Linked DNA regions of Ovis aries. The protein of the gene in region 3 interacts with the protein of the main gene of each other region in a biochemical or structural test. Links are inferred from orthologs where the notes say so. Each region holds a gene or a part of one and is shown on either strand. Other genes may lie near its edges.

Evidence for each region.
Region 1: the proteins of SNTB2 (region 3) and DGKZ form a complex in vitro, tested with the Homo sapiens proteins (2 studies listed by BioGRID and IntAct, with this or other methods). The link is inferred for Ovis aries from reciprocal best matches to the Homo sapiens genes SNTB2 and DGKZ.
Region 2: the proteins of SNTB2 (region 3) and PTPRN form a complex in vitro, tested with the Homo sapiens proteins (2 studies listed by BioGRID and IntAct). The link is inferred for Ovis aries from reciprocal best matches to the Homo sapiens genes SNTB2 and PTPRN.

The regions. Positions count from the first base shown.
Region 1 is NC_056068.1:75,295,872-75,299,371, reverse strand, and holds part of DGKZ (diacylglycerol kinase zeta), read right to left. Parts: intron 3,320-3,500; coding exon 3,224-3,319; intron 2,952-3,223; coding exon 2,874-2,951; intron 1,693-2,873; coding exon 1,636-1,692; intron 1,516-1,635; coding exon 1,447-1,515; intron 709-1,446; coding exon 637-708; intron 530-636; coding exon 413-529; intron 307-412; coding exon 235-306; intron 1-234. UniProt on the Homo sapiens protein: Diacylglycerol kinase that converts diacylglycerol/DAG into phosphatidic acid/phosphatidate/PA and regulates the respective levels of these two bioactive lipids.
Region 2 is NC_056055.1:221,238,996-221,242,495, forward strand, and holds part of PTPRN (receptor-type tyrosine-protein phosphatase-like N), read right to left. Parts: intron 3,087-3,500; coding exon 2,920-3,086; intron 1-2,919. UniProt on the Homo sapiens protein: Plays a role in vesicle-mediated secretory processes. Required for normal accumulation of secretory vesicles in hippocampus, pituitary and pancreatic islets.
Region 3 is NC_056067.1:35,945,380-35,949,419, reverse strand, and holds the start of SNTB2 (beta-2-syntrophin), read right to left. Parts: upstream 2,801-4,040; 5' UTR 2,798-2,800; coding exon 2,218-2,797; intron 1-2,217. UniProt on the Homo sapiens protein: Adapter protein that binds to and probably organizes the subcellular localization of a variety of membrane proteins. May link various receptors to the actin cytoskeleton and the dystrophin glycoprotein complex.

The DNA.
Region 1 (3,500 bases), on a different chromosome or scaffold from region 3:
CCCTGTCCTCCATGCCCCGGGTGCCCCCGTGAGTATCACCGCGGGGTCAGACCTCACAGTGGGCCTGGCCCCAGAGGAGGACCTGACCCCTCCCCCTGCTCGGGGGCCCCAGAGCCCAGACTGACCCAGCGATGGCCGCATCATGAGCTCCGAGGGGGGCGGGCCTCAGTGTCCCAAGAAACAGGCCCCCCTCTCCTGTTCCCCTCCGGCTGCCCGCCTGGTCCCCAGTCTAACCTCAGGCCCTTTCTTGCTAGACTTCCTCTTGAAGGATGCTCTCTTTTTCTTCTTGCTGGCTTTGAGGGTGTTCTGCGAGGGAAGTGGAGGTGTGGGTGACACGGTGGTTGGAGCTGGGGTGGCCGGCAGACCCTGGGGGTCGCGGGGGTTGGGGCTTCCTAGCGCAGGTGGGGCTCACCTGGGGCCTGCGGGCCCGGAGGATCCAGGTAGGGGGGATGACCACGGCGGCGTGGACCCCCAGGGAGCACGGCTCCTCGATCTGCTGCAGCATGAAGCAGGACACCTTGCTGTGGTACTGCAGGGGCGGGGCGGCGGGGGCGTGGCTGAGCTGGGCCCGCGAGACCTGCAGCCCGCACCCGCGCAGCCCTGCGGGACAGCCAGCGGCAGGGGAGTGGCACTCACTGCTTGCTTGCACCAGGAGCAGCTGATGGCCACGATCTCCTTGCTGTGGAAGGTGAACTTCTGCTGGAAGCCCTAGGGGGCAGAGGGTGCTGAGGGTCCCCGGGGCTGGGCCCAGAGCAGCAGGCCCAGCCCCTTCCTGCCGCCAACGTCTCTCTACCCAGGGCAACTGAGCACTCTTTTTTTTTTTTTTAAAGAAAAGAACTATAAAAGGAGTCCCTAGAGTCACGGGGGCTGAGCCAGGCTGAGTCTCTGAAGTTAACTGCACCATCTGCTGGAAAGGGGTCCATAGATAACTCCTGCCTAACTCCAGTCCCTCCTTCCCAACCCAGGCTCTCAAAGCTCTGTGCAGTAACCATCACAGTCATTCCCTATTTGTCCTACACAGGTTTATCACAGGGCCTACTGTGCCGGACGTGCTGGACACTCAGGGTGGACGGAGGGAGGAGGGACAAGGCCCCTAGATCTCTCAGAGCCTGAACTTACTGGGCGGTGGGTGGAGGGGACAAGACAGGTCAGTGAAACCTGGGCTGCTGTAGGCCGTGCTCACACCCGGCAGGCCCTCAACGTGCATCGGCTGAGCTAGCGAGGGAAAAAGCCTCCATGCTTCTTGAAGGGGTTGCTCACAGCTTCTGAGCGGTCCAGACACACTGCTCTCCCGCTCTGCCCAGGGACCTGGGGGTTCTGGGATTGAGTGGGTGTGGCAGCCAGAGAGTGGGCCCAGGACTCCGCCTGCGGTCAGGGGCGGACGGGCCACACGTGGCCGTGCGGGGCCGCCAGGACCAGGGCCAGCTTGCTCAGGCGCAGCCTCACCTTCCCGCAGTGCCGACACTTGCCGTCCTGGCGCCGCCGGTGTACCCAGTGGTGCCGCACGAAGGTTGGCTGGCGGAGGAGAGGAGCGGCACTGGGCTGAGCGATGGGCAGAAGCCCGGCAACGCTCTGGAGTCACTGCCGAGGGTCCCGCTCGGGAAACCCGGGGCCCTGACCACCCCCGGCACTTACCTCACGGACGTTCCTGGAGCCCGATTCACGGAAGGATGGCTTACAGCGGAAATTTATCTGTGAAACGTGCAGTGACCACCGAAACGTCAGAACCGCCCTTCATGGGGTCAGGCACGTGGCCACCCCCTTCAGAAGGTGTCACTGGGGAGGCATCCCCACAAAGGAGGGAGAGGCCCCCCAGCATCCTGGGAGCCCTGAGAACACCAGACACCTCTTCTCAGAGGCCCTCCAGCATCCCTCCTCCTCTCCACTAGCCAGAAGGAAGCTCCCTTCCGCTGCCCAGTCTTCTGGGATGAGGGAGACAGCAAGTTCTGTATCCGTCTTCCCCGCTAAAATGGCAGCAAGGCTGACCCATCCTGTACTCTTCCTCGCTCTCCAGCTCTCCCAACTTAGGCACCTGCAGGTAACCCAGTCCATGCTTGTGGACTGGTCCCTGGAGACCGTCAGCCCATTTGTGGAGCCCTGGTTTATCACCTTAGGGGCTGGTGTGACGGATCTACAGGACCTAGGGCTACAGGCGACTCTCTTTGCCTCAGGGCCCCTGCTTCAGCCCTAGGGAAACTGCACTGTATGAGATGAAGAGGAGGGGAAGCCGTCTGCGTCAGCCTCGTTCAAGCCATCCCTAGTCCTACAGGATTTCTCTTACACTGGCCTCGGCTTCTGCTGGTGGGGAGTCCTGCGGGGCCACGGCAGCCTCCCAATCCATAGGCCTGGACCCACTCACCCAGCTGTCCTTCTCCCTCCCTCCCTAGAAGCGCCGGGCCCAGACGCGCCCCTAGCTGCAGCCTCTCCGTGGACAACGGTCCCTGGGAAAAGGTCTTTACAGCCGCACCGTGGAGGGGACAGAGCCGGGCTTCAGGGCCCACACAGGACTGGCCCAGACAGAGCTGAGGTACGAAGGCTCAGCGCCTTCTAACTATTAGTTTGGGAACTGATAAAATGGCATCTCAGCCAGCATTTGTGACTTCGTATAGTAACAGTCTTATGAGCCTCGCTCTGTGCCAGGCTTGTTCTGGGCAGCGGGACGCAGCAGCAAATGAAGGAGGAGCCGGGATGCAGATGCAGGCCCTGCAGCCCCTGGGTCCTTGGCTTTTTCACCACTACACACACTGAGGCACCCCTGGCCAGTGGTGTCTGTGTGACGTGAACACGCGTGTACAGAGACCCGTGTAGGAGTGCCGTGAGGGCTTCAGCACCCCAAGGGGGAGGGGCAGGAAAGCCTGAACAGCCACGCTCACCTTCTCGAGCTGCTCGATGCAGGGCGTGTGGACCACAATCTTGCAGGCCGCACACTTTCTCCGGGACACTGATTTCTGCTGCGGGAAACAGAAGGTCCCTGAGGCATCGGGTAACCCGGGCCCGGGTGCCGCCCCACGCCTGCCCCAGCACAGCTGCGCTGGGAGAGCACTGCCGAGCCCTGTCCTCGCTTCAGGACCCAGTCCTGTCCCTCTGGCTGTCAGGGGGCAGCCCCCTGCAGGGCGGCTCAGGCAAGAGCCTCGCTCCCACCTTCCCCTGGGAGGGCAGGCCTACAGGGCTCGAGATCCGGCTCCACCACCAGGGGGCGGCGTGCCGCACCGCGCTCACTCACCAGCATCTTGGCGACGCAGTACTGCTCTCCGACGTAGCAGAAGTCCCCGGACACGTTGGTCTCGAACCAGATGTGTTCCCCATAGGTCGCCGACTCCTGGAGGACGGGACGAGCACGCTCGGCGCACGCCTGCTCTGCCCCCCTCCCCCTCTCCCAAGACAAACCTGCTCCAGCCCCCACAATCTACTTTGCTGCATCCTGTTTTCACCACTGTTGGCTTCAAGGCTTGGCCCGAACGTGGCCACCCTAGATCTGCCCTGACCCCACAGGTCCATGG
Region 2 (3,500 bases), on a different chromosome or scaffold from region 3:
TCAGTTTTCTTACCTGTAAAACGGGGATGATAGTAATAGTAACCTCCTTCTTAGCGTTCTTATTACATGGATTATGAGATAATCCATATAAAGGACTAAGTGATAAATCTGGCACACAGCAGGTGCTCATTAAATGATGGCACTATTAAAGATAATATGTCATAATATTAACAGTCTCCCCCGCCTGAAGTTCAGGGAGGATAGGTGTTCTGGTGAATTCAAGGCTGTCAGAGCACACTATTGCTCTGCCCCGGGTGTTCCCCTCCCCACCCGGGCTCCTGTGGTCCTCACCAGCAGTAAGGTCTGGTTGCAGCCCTGGGCGTAGAGTTCCTCTGGCGAGGGGATGACAACCCCTCAGCTCTGAATATGCTGCCGTCCACTGTCTCCCTGGGTAAGTCTTACCCCAGCAGGTAAGCACAGGTGCTCTGTGATTGGGTCATAGTCAGACTGTGGGTCCACCTGGACCTCAGACTCTGCTTCTTGGACCACAGCTCAGCAAGGAGCGGGTGGGTTCTCCCTGTCTCGTGGCCCAGTCTAACCTGCCCTTGTCCCTTATCACATTCCTGATTTGAGAGTCACTTGCAGACTCCTGATACTCCCAAAGGACAAGGGCGAGGGAGAACCTTTTGAAGGGTTATTAGAGCATTTCAGAGGAGCTTAGAACTTAGTGGTTCCCCAGTCTGGTACCCCCAGACTTACTGGGGCCAGGAGACTTTGAATGGTTTTCTAGAAGTCCACATGATCCCTTAGCGTATCGGCTGGTAGATCAGGGCTGGGGTTGAACAGAAGTTGTCACGGTGGCTCCCAATCAGTTAATAATAATGACAACAAATAGTACTTAGAATTAACAGAGCCTTTGCTATGTGCTGGGGCTTCCTTGGTAGCTCAGCTGGTAAAGAATCCACCTGCAATGCAGGAGACCTGGAGTCTATCCCTGAGTTGGGAAGATTCCTTGTAGAAGGGAAAGGCTACCCATTCCAGTATTCTGGCCTGGAGAATCCCATGGACTGTATAGTCCAGGGGGTCACAAAGAGTCGGATATGACTGAGCGACTTTCACTTTTACTTTTGCTATGTACCTGGCACTTAAAGTAGATTTTATAGATTTCATGCTATTGACTTTTGTAACAATCCCTTAAGGTATGGGTCATCAATCTCATTTCACAGGTAAGAAAACAGATGGAGGTCAAGGAACTTGATCAGAGTTATTTTCTAAGACTTCAAAATTTATTTTGCCTTCCCTCTGATGGACCTTCACCAAAACAGTATTTATTAAGCAGCAACTAATTTGTTCTGGGTGTCTAAGCCAATTGAGTTTACATAATTCCAGCCTGAAGCAAAGAAACATAACCTTTTCGCTTACCTGTGCAGTCTTAAAATAGGTCCATGCACTCATTTTATAAAGATTTTTAAATATGGAAAACAAAAAATACCCCTGATACCCCTGATGGCACCTTCAAGAAGCCGGTACCTCAGGTTGCATGGACCCCAGTTAGAAACCATTGTCCTGAGGGTCAGAAACTACCCCCAGGTTCCCACCCCAGTTCTGTTCCTCTGCTTTCTGCCCAGCACCTAGAGACCTCAGACTGGCCTGGCAAGGGGCAGAGAAGCAGAAGGAAGCTGCAGTGTGGGTGAGGTCCCTGCCATGGCAGCAGACTTCTCAGCCACCAATCTGTGGAGGGAAGGCAGGGGACTCTGGAGGCCTGGACATGGTTTTAGCATCTGAAGAGGGCAAGTCCCCCTGTTGGTTTCCTGTCCCAGCCCCCACCTGGTTCCATGAGTCCCCAAGAGTCCAGAGATCCCCCCCACTCCCTTTGATAGCATTTGTCCCTTCCCTGAATCTCCCCAGCCCCAGCTCTCCCAGCGCCCTTCAGGGTGGTCCCTGGGCCACACGTCCTCATGTCCCATCCATGCAGCGGCCACACCTGCCAGTGATCACTTTTGTGACTATGCAACTGGAGTGAGAATACTAGCTGCAGATCACAAAAATGACGCTGGCAGCCGTGAGAGAGAGAGAAGAGGGAGGAGACAGAGAGGGGAGACAGACAGCAACGGAGAGACAGAGACATGTAGAGAAAGAGAGAGAGGAGCGGGGAGAGAGACAAAGAGAGGCAGAGTAAATAGGCAGAGATGGGAGGGAGGTGGAGGAAACAGCTGAGAGACCGAACAGGGAGGGGTGCAGAGGGGGGAACTGTCGATGGAGTGGGGGAGTGAGAACCATGGGAGAGAGCTGAGGGGGAGAGGGAGGGTGGAGGCGAGAAAAGTGGGAAGGAAGGGAGGGAAAGAGGGAAAGAAATAAAAATAGAGGCAAAGAGACACAGAGGGTAAAGAAGAGGGAAGGCAAGGGTTAGTGAGAGAAAGCAAGGGGACAGCAGACATAGAGACTGGGCACCAGGAAACAGGACAGGAGGAAATAGACAGCAAGGACCAAGGAGGAAGAGAGGAGAGAGGGAGGCGGCTACAAACAAGATGAGCCTTTCAGGGTATAGGGGGGCGGAGGGAGAAGAAGGTTATGGAGGAAGAGTGGGAGATAGAAAAAGAGGCCAAGAGAGAGGGAAGAGGCAGCCAGACAGCAGAGAGAGCAAGCAGTCAGGAGCTGGACCACAGCAGTGGACGGATGGGCACAGCGAGACAGGGCGTCAGTCCTGGTTTGGGGGGTGGTGTCCAGAAGGGGATGCCGGGAGGTCAGAGTCAGTCCTGGTTTGGGGGTGTCTAGAAGGGGGCACCAGCGGACCAGAAGCTGAGGCTCCAGGTCGGGCGAGAGGGCCTGCCTCTCCTGACCAGGGGCCCCAGGAGGAGCTGATGGGCTGCGGGGAGGCTCCAGAGCCCGGCTCCCGGCCCCCTTGCTCCTGGGCTGCTCTCTCCCGGGCTTCTGGGAGCCTTCTTCGGGCCGCCCCACCGCCCAGGGGTGCCCGCTTACCTGCGGAAGTCCAGGAGGGGCCGGGTGGAGGCCGGGGTGCCCTCTGCCGGCCAGCTGAGGAAGTGGAACTGCGTGAGCGTGCGCGTCTCCTGGGTCTGCACGTTCTTCAGGTAGAAGCTCCGCACTAGGAAATCCTCGCACCAGATGTGCTCCGACACCAGGTTCACCTGCGAGAGTGGGGGCGCAGGCCTGAGCGCGGCAGGGCCTCTCCAAATCCTCCCGGCCTCCCAGGACAGTCAAGAAGCTCACTCAACTGTCCCCAGGAACCCTAGCCATCTGTGTCACTTATGGATTGCTCAGGACAACTGGCGGCTTCTCCATCTAGACACAGCGGGAGCCTAGCTCCCCGACTAGGGATCGAACCCGTGCCCCCTGCAGTGGCAGCTCGGATTCTTAACCATTGGGCCCTCCGGGAAGTCCTGTGTGTTTCCTGGAATCAGTTTCTCCTTCCTCTTTTTGCGCAAAGACTAGCACAGTGTCTGTGCTACACACACACCATAAACTTTGATAAAATTTTGTATTTTCATTTGATTTTTTCTTTAACCCCAAGCGGGACCAATTTTTAAAGCTTAAAAAGAAAA
Region 3 (4,040 bases):
TACAGCTTTGCTTTGCCTGGGGGTGATAAAGGTTGCCTAAAATTCCCTGCACGCACCACAAAAGGGCATCACTGTGCTATGTTAAACTGTGCTATGTTAAGGTAGTTTTTCAAGTTTTGAGACATCAAATGGAAGGATCATTCAGTTCTAAAACTCTAAGCATAAAAATCTATCTTTTAAAAGTAGCCTTCCTGGATGGGTCACTAGTTCTCAATTTTAAACATTTGACTGATTCTATGAAATCACTGTTTGCAGTGGTTCTGCATATTATAAGCAATTTTATTTTTATATCCTTTGATTTTTAAAGTTCAGTTTCATACCTCTCCACACATATAAGAACAAAAATGTCTTGTCTTTTAGAAAATGGGAAAATAAGGTAGAACCTGTGTTAGGTAAACAAACATTCACTAAATATTATGCTGCCATTTGTAAAGCCTCCTTCTAAAAGCACATGTGGCCTATTTTAGGTTAATGAATACTATGAAGTGTTTACTAGATGATTTTTATTTAAGTGGTATGAATACCACGTTCAAATTATATCTAAACAAAAACTAGATTTAAAAAATATAGATATGGGTTAAGAGCTGAAACATCTGCCCATCACCACTGAGCACCACATAAATAGTACTACAGTCAGTATTCTGGCTCTAAGAATTTATAACCAAATTCTTAGCTAGCACAATTTCAAGACACACATTTATGGCAACTCTTTCTTTTTTTACACACATACAACCCACATCGCCACAATTTATAATTTTACTCCTTTTATTAACACTAATTTCTGAGTAGTGCCTAGCCCCACCTAAGTGAAATATAAATATTTATAAATAGGATATTATAAGGTGGGAGACTGGAATTTCACAATTAGAGCACATTAAAATATTTACTTGGAAACTAACACCTTCCCAAATGTTTACTAGCAGATTTAGGAAAAAGTGAAAATCACTTTGCCAAGCTAGACTTCTGGCCTCTCAGTCAGTTTGATGACTGGCCACTTCCTACCTCCACTCCCCACCCCTTCCCTTCTGTTCTTCCTCTGCCAGGAATACCCTCTTGACTCATCCCTGCCTATGTCCATCACTTCCCTGGAGACCTGGCTCAAGACTCAGCTTCTTGAAAAACTCCTCCCTGATCAAGCTGATTTCCACTACTTCCTAACTTTGCACTCCCTTGGTATTCATATAGTTTGCACTCCACAATCTATAATTTGTAAGTTGTTTTGCATTTTTCTATCATTTTTCCAACTAGACACCAAATAGAGACACATCATCTTTTATATTCTCTTCTGTATTGTCAGCAATAAATGCCTCTTAAATGACTGAATGGGTGAAAGAAGGCTGATCACTCAAAAATTTCTGAAGTAGTATTACCTCCAACATGCATGAGTCCTTCAAGAAGATAAAATTTATTTTGCCTTAGTTCCATAAAAGACTCAGGTAACAGATCACACTCAAACTTAAAAGAATAATCTTGACTATTCAAACGTGACTTGAGATTTAACACTTCAGGCTTCTGAATTTAAGCTTAAAGCCTTGAAGCCTGTGAATGGTAGGAAGCTGGCACCCCGTCTCCTGCAAAAAGGGGCAAAATTCTAGTTGACAGTAAAAGTTCAAACACGTGAGCCTCCACTGTTAAACAAGGCTCATTAACCACACAAACTTGCTGTTTCAGCTTTCTGGCTTCGATGAAGTGCTATGATCTCCTTTGGTTATTGTTGAGAGCCAATGATGGGTTAAATTCCCATAAATTAACCAGCGTTTTGGTGGTCTGCCCAAGCATACCGCTGGCATCGGTGTGGATGAAATTTTTTTTTTTTTTTTTTTTAACAGACCTGCCTGGCCTAAGAAACCAGAGGTGAGTGAAGAAAGCGCCACTCAGGAGGCAAACGGAGACCTTCAGAAGTCCTGTTCTAGTTCTTAGTGTCAGCTTAGCGTGCAGAGGAGGGGCTTCAAGCACGGCTGCTCCAAACTAAAACCTTCCTAGGGGACTGCAAGCCACACTTCGGCGGCAGCCCAACTTTTCCTGCAGGGAGCATCAGTTTTTCCATCTCCAAAGCCCCAGCAACGGGGTTGTGGGGAAGCCTGCCGCCAGCAGAGGGGAAGGTGAGGTCTCCGAGTGGGAGGGAAGGGGCTGGCCCCGCAAAGGGGGCAGGGTGGCAGAACAAAGTGAGCGCCGGCCAGCCCAGCCCAGCGCCGCCCGCCCGCCGGCCCGGCTCACCCTCCAGCAGCACCTCCTTGCCCGCGCGCTTCAGCGCCTGCACGGCCTGGTCGTGGGTGGCCTGGCGCAGGTCGGTGCCGTTCACCGACAGGATGGCGTCGCCCAGCCGCAGCGCCCGGCTCTGGTCGGCCGCCAGTCCCGGGAAGATCTTGGAGATGAGGATCGGCATCCGGTTCTCGCGGCCGCCCTTGATGCTGATGCCCAGGCCGCCCGCCTCCTGCTTCACCACACGGACGCGGCGCACCGGCGGTGACGCGCCCGCCTCGCCCGCAGGGCTCCGCGGCGGCGCGGGTGGACTCGGGGGCCCCAGGCCGCGGCTCGGGCTCCCGGGCAGCGAGTCGCCGGCGCCACCGCCGTTCGGGAGGCCGTTGAAGGCGGCCGCCGCGGGCCCGAGAGCGGGCTCAGACTCAGCCGCCCCGGCGTCGCCCGTCAGGCTCAGGCTCTCCCCGCTCAGCTCGGCCACCACTCGGACCCAGCGCTCCCTCAGGAGCAGCTCCACCAGCCCCGCTTTGGTGGCCCGCGTCCACACCGCCATGGCCGGCCCCACTCCCGCCGCCGCAGTCGCCGCAGCTACCCTCATTCCAGTCAGGCAGCCTCGGCGCTTCCCCCTTCCCGCCCGTGGGGGCGGGTCCGGCCCCGCCCCCGGCGGTGATTCATTATTCATGAGGCCACGCCCACCTTCCGGAGGTGAGGGGAGAGGACAGCCGAGCAGCTTCCGGGAGGTTAAGGAGTTGCCCGAGGTCCAGTGGGTTACAGTTCACCGGACGTGGGCAGCTCGCGTGGTTTGGGCTGTCTCACGTTCTCCCTCGTACGCCTCCGATCTTCCCACTCCCAGCTCCTGACTTCTACCGTGCAACTCGCCAGAGCTGCCTGGGCACAGAGAGTAAAATCAGCTTCGAGAGGCACTTTGCAAGCCTGCAAGACCCAGTTGCAGGTACACTTTTGCATTGATTGGTTTACAGAACGCTCCGCCAAGTGTGCTCCTTTTTGAGGCCTGGAGATGAGATGAATAAAATGCACCACAGCTGAGAGCTGAGAGTCTAGTTGGGGAGGAAAACAAAGAGAATCAGCTAACCTGATGTTATAGTATGTGGTGAGTGTCAAGTACAAAATGCCCTGTGAGCAGATGAGAACATTTAGTTGGGTCTGGGGTCAGCTTTATAGAGGTGACAATGAAACTCAAAAGTCAGAGCATTTGTCACTCTGCTTTGTAATCCCCTGTTTACTTGCCAGTAATGTCAGAGGAAAAATATCTTTAGCCCCGCAGTCACGATAGGTAGGTCTCAAAGATATCCGTAAAATGATGGTTACTTAGGGAGATGCCAGAATCCAATGTCAAGAGAGGATAGGGTCAGTGGCAACGACAGTATACGAGTGTAAAACGCCGAATATAACCACATATTTGGAAGTGTTTGGACTTGAATTTGTAGATCTGACTTTCTCACCCTGGAGGCCATGGCCTTATGTTAGGGCAAGTGCACATGGGCCTCCCCAGAAACACTGCACAATGTAGGGCCTGCAGCGGTTTTTATCCAAAGATACAGGTGATACAATCCACTGGCTTCTTACAGTTTCATGGGCTTGAAGAGCAGAAAGTAACACATTGTAAAGCAATTATACTCAAAGGAAAAAAAGACACTGCTTTAGTAGAATGGGGAGAATAAATCAGCTATCTCACCTTAAAATTACACAATAAAAGAAGAGCTGAGGAAACTGAGACCCAGAAAGTCAAAGATTCTGGCCCAAAGCTCACAGTGAAGAAAGACAACTCACGTCTCCCACCCTCCTGGTCCAGTGCTTTTTTTTTAAAAAAAACAAACAAA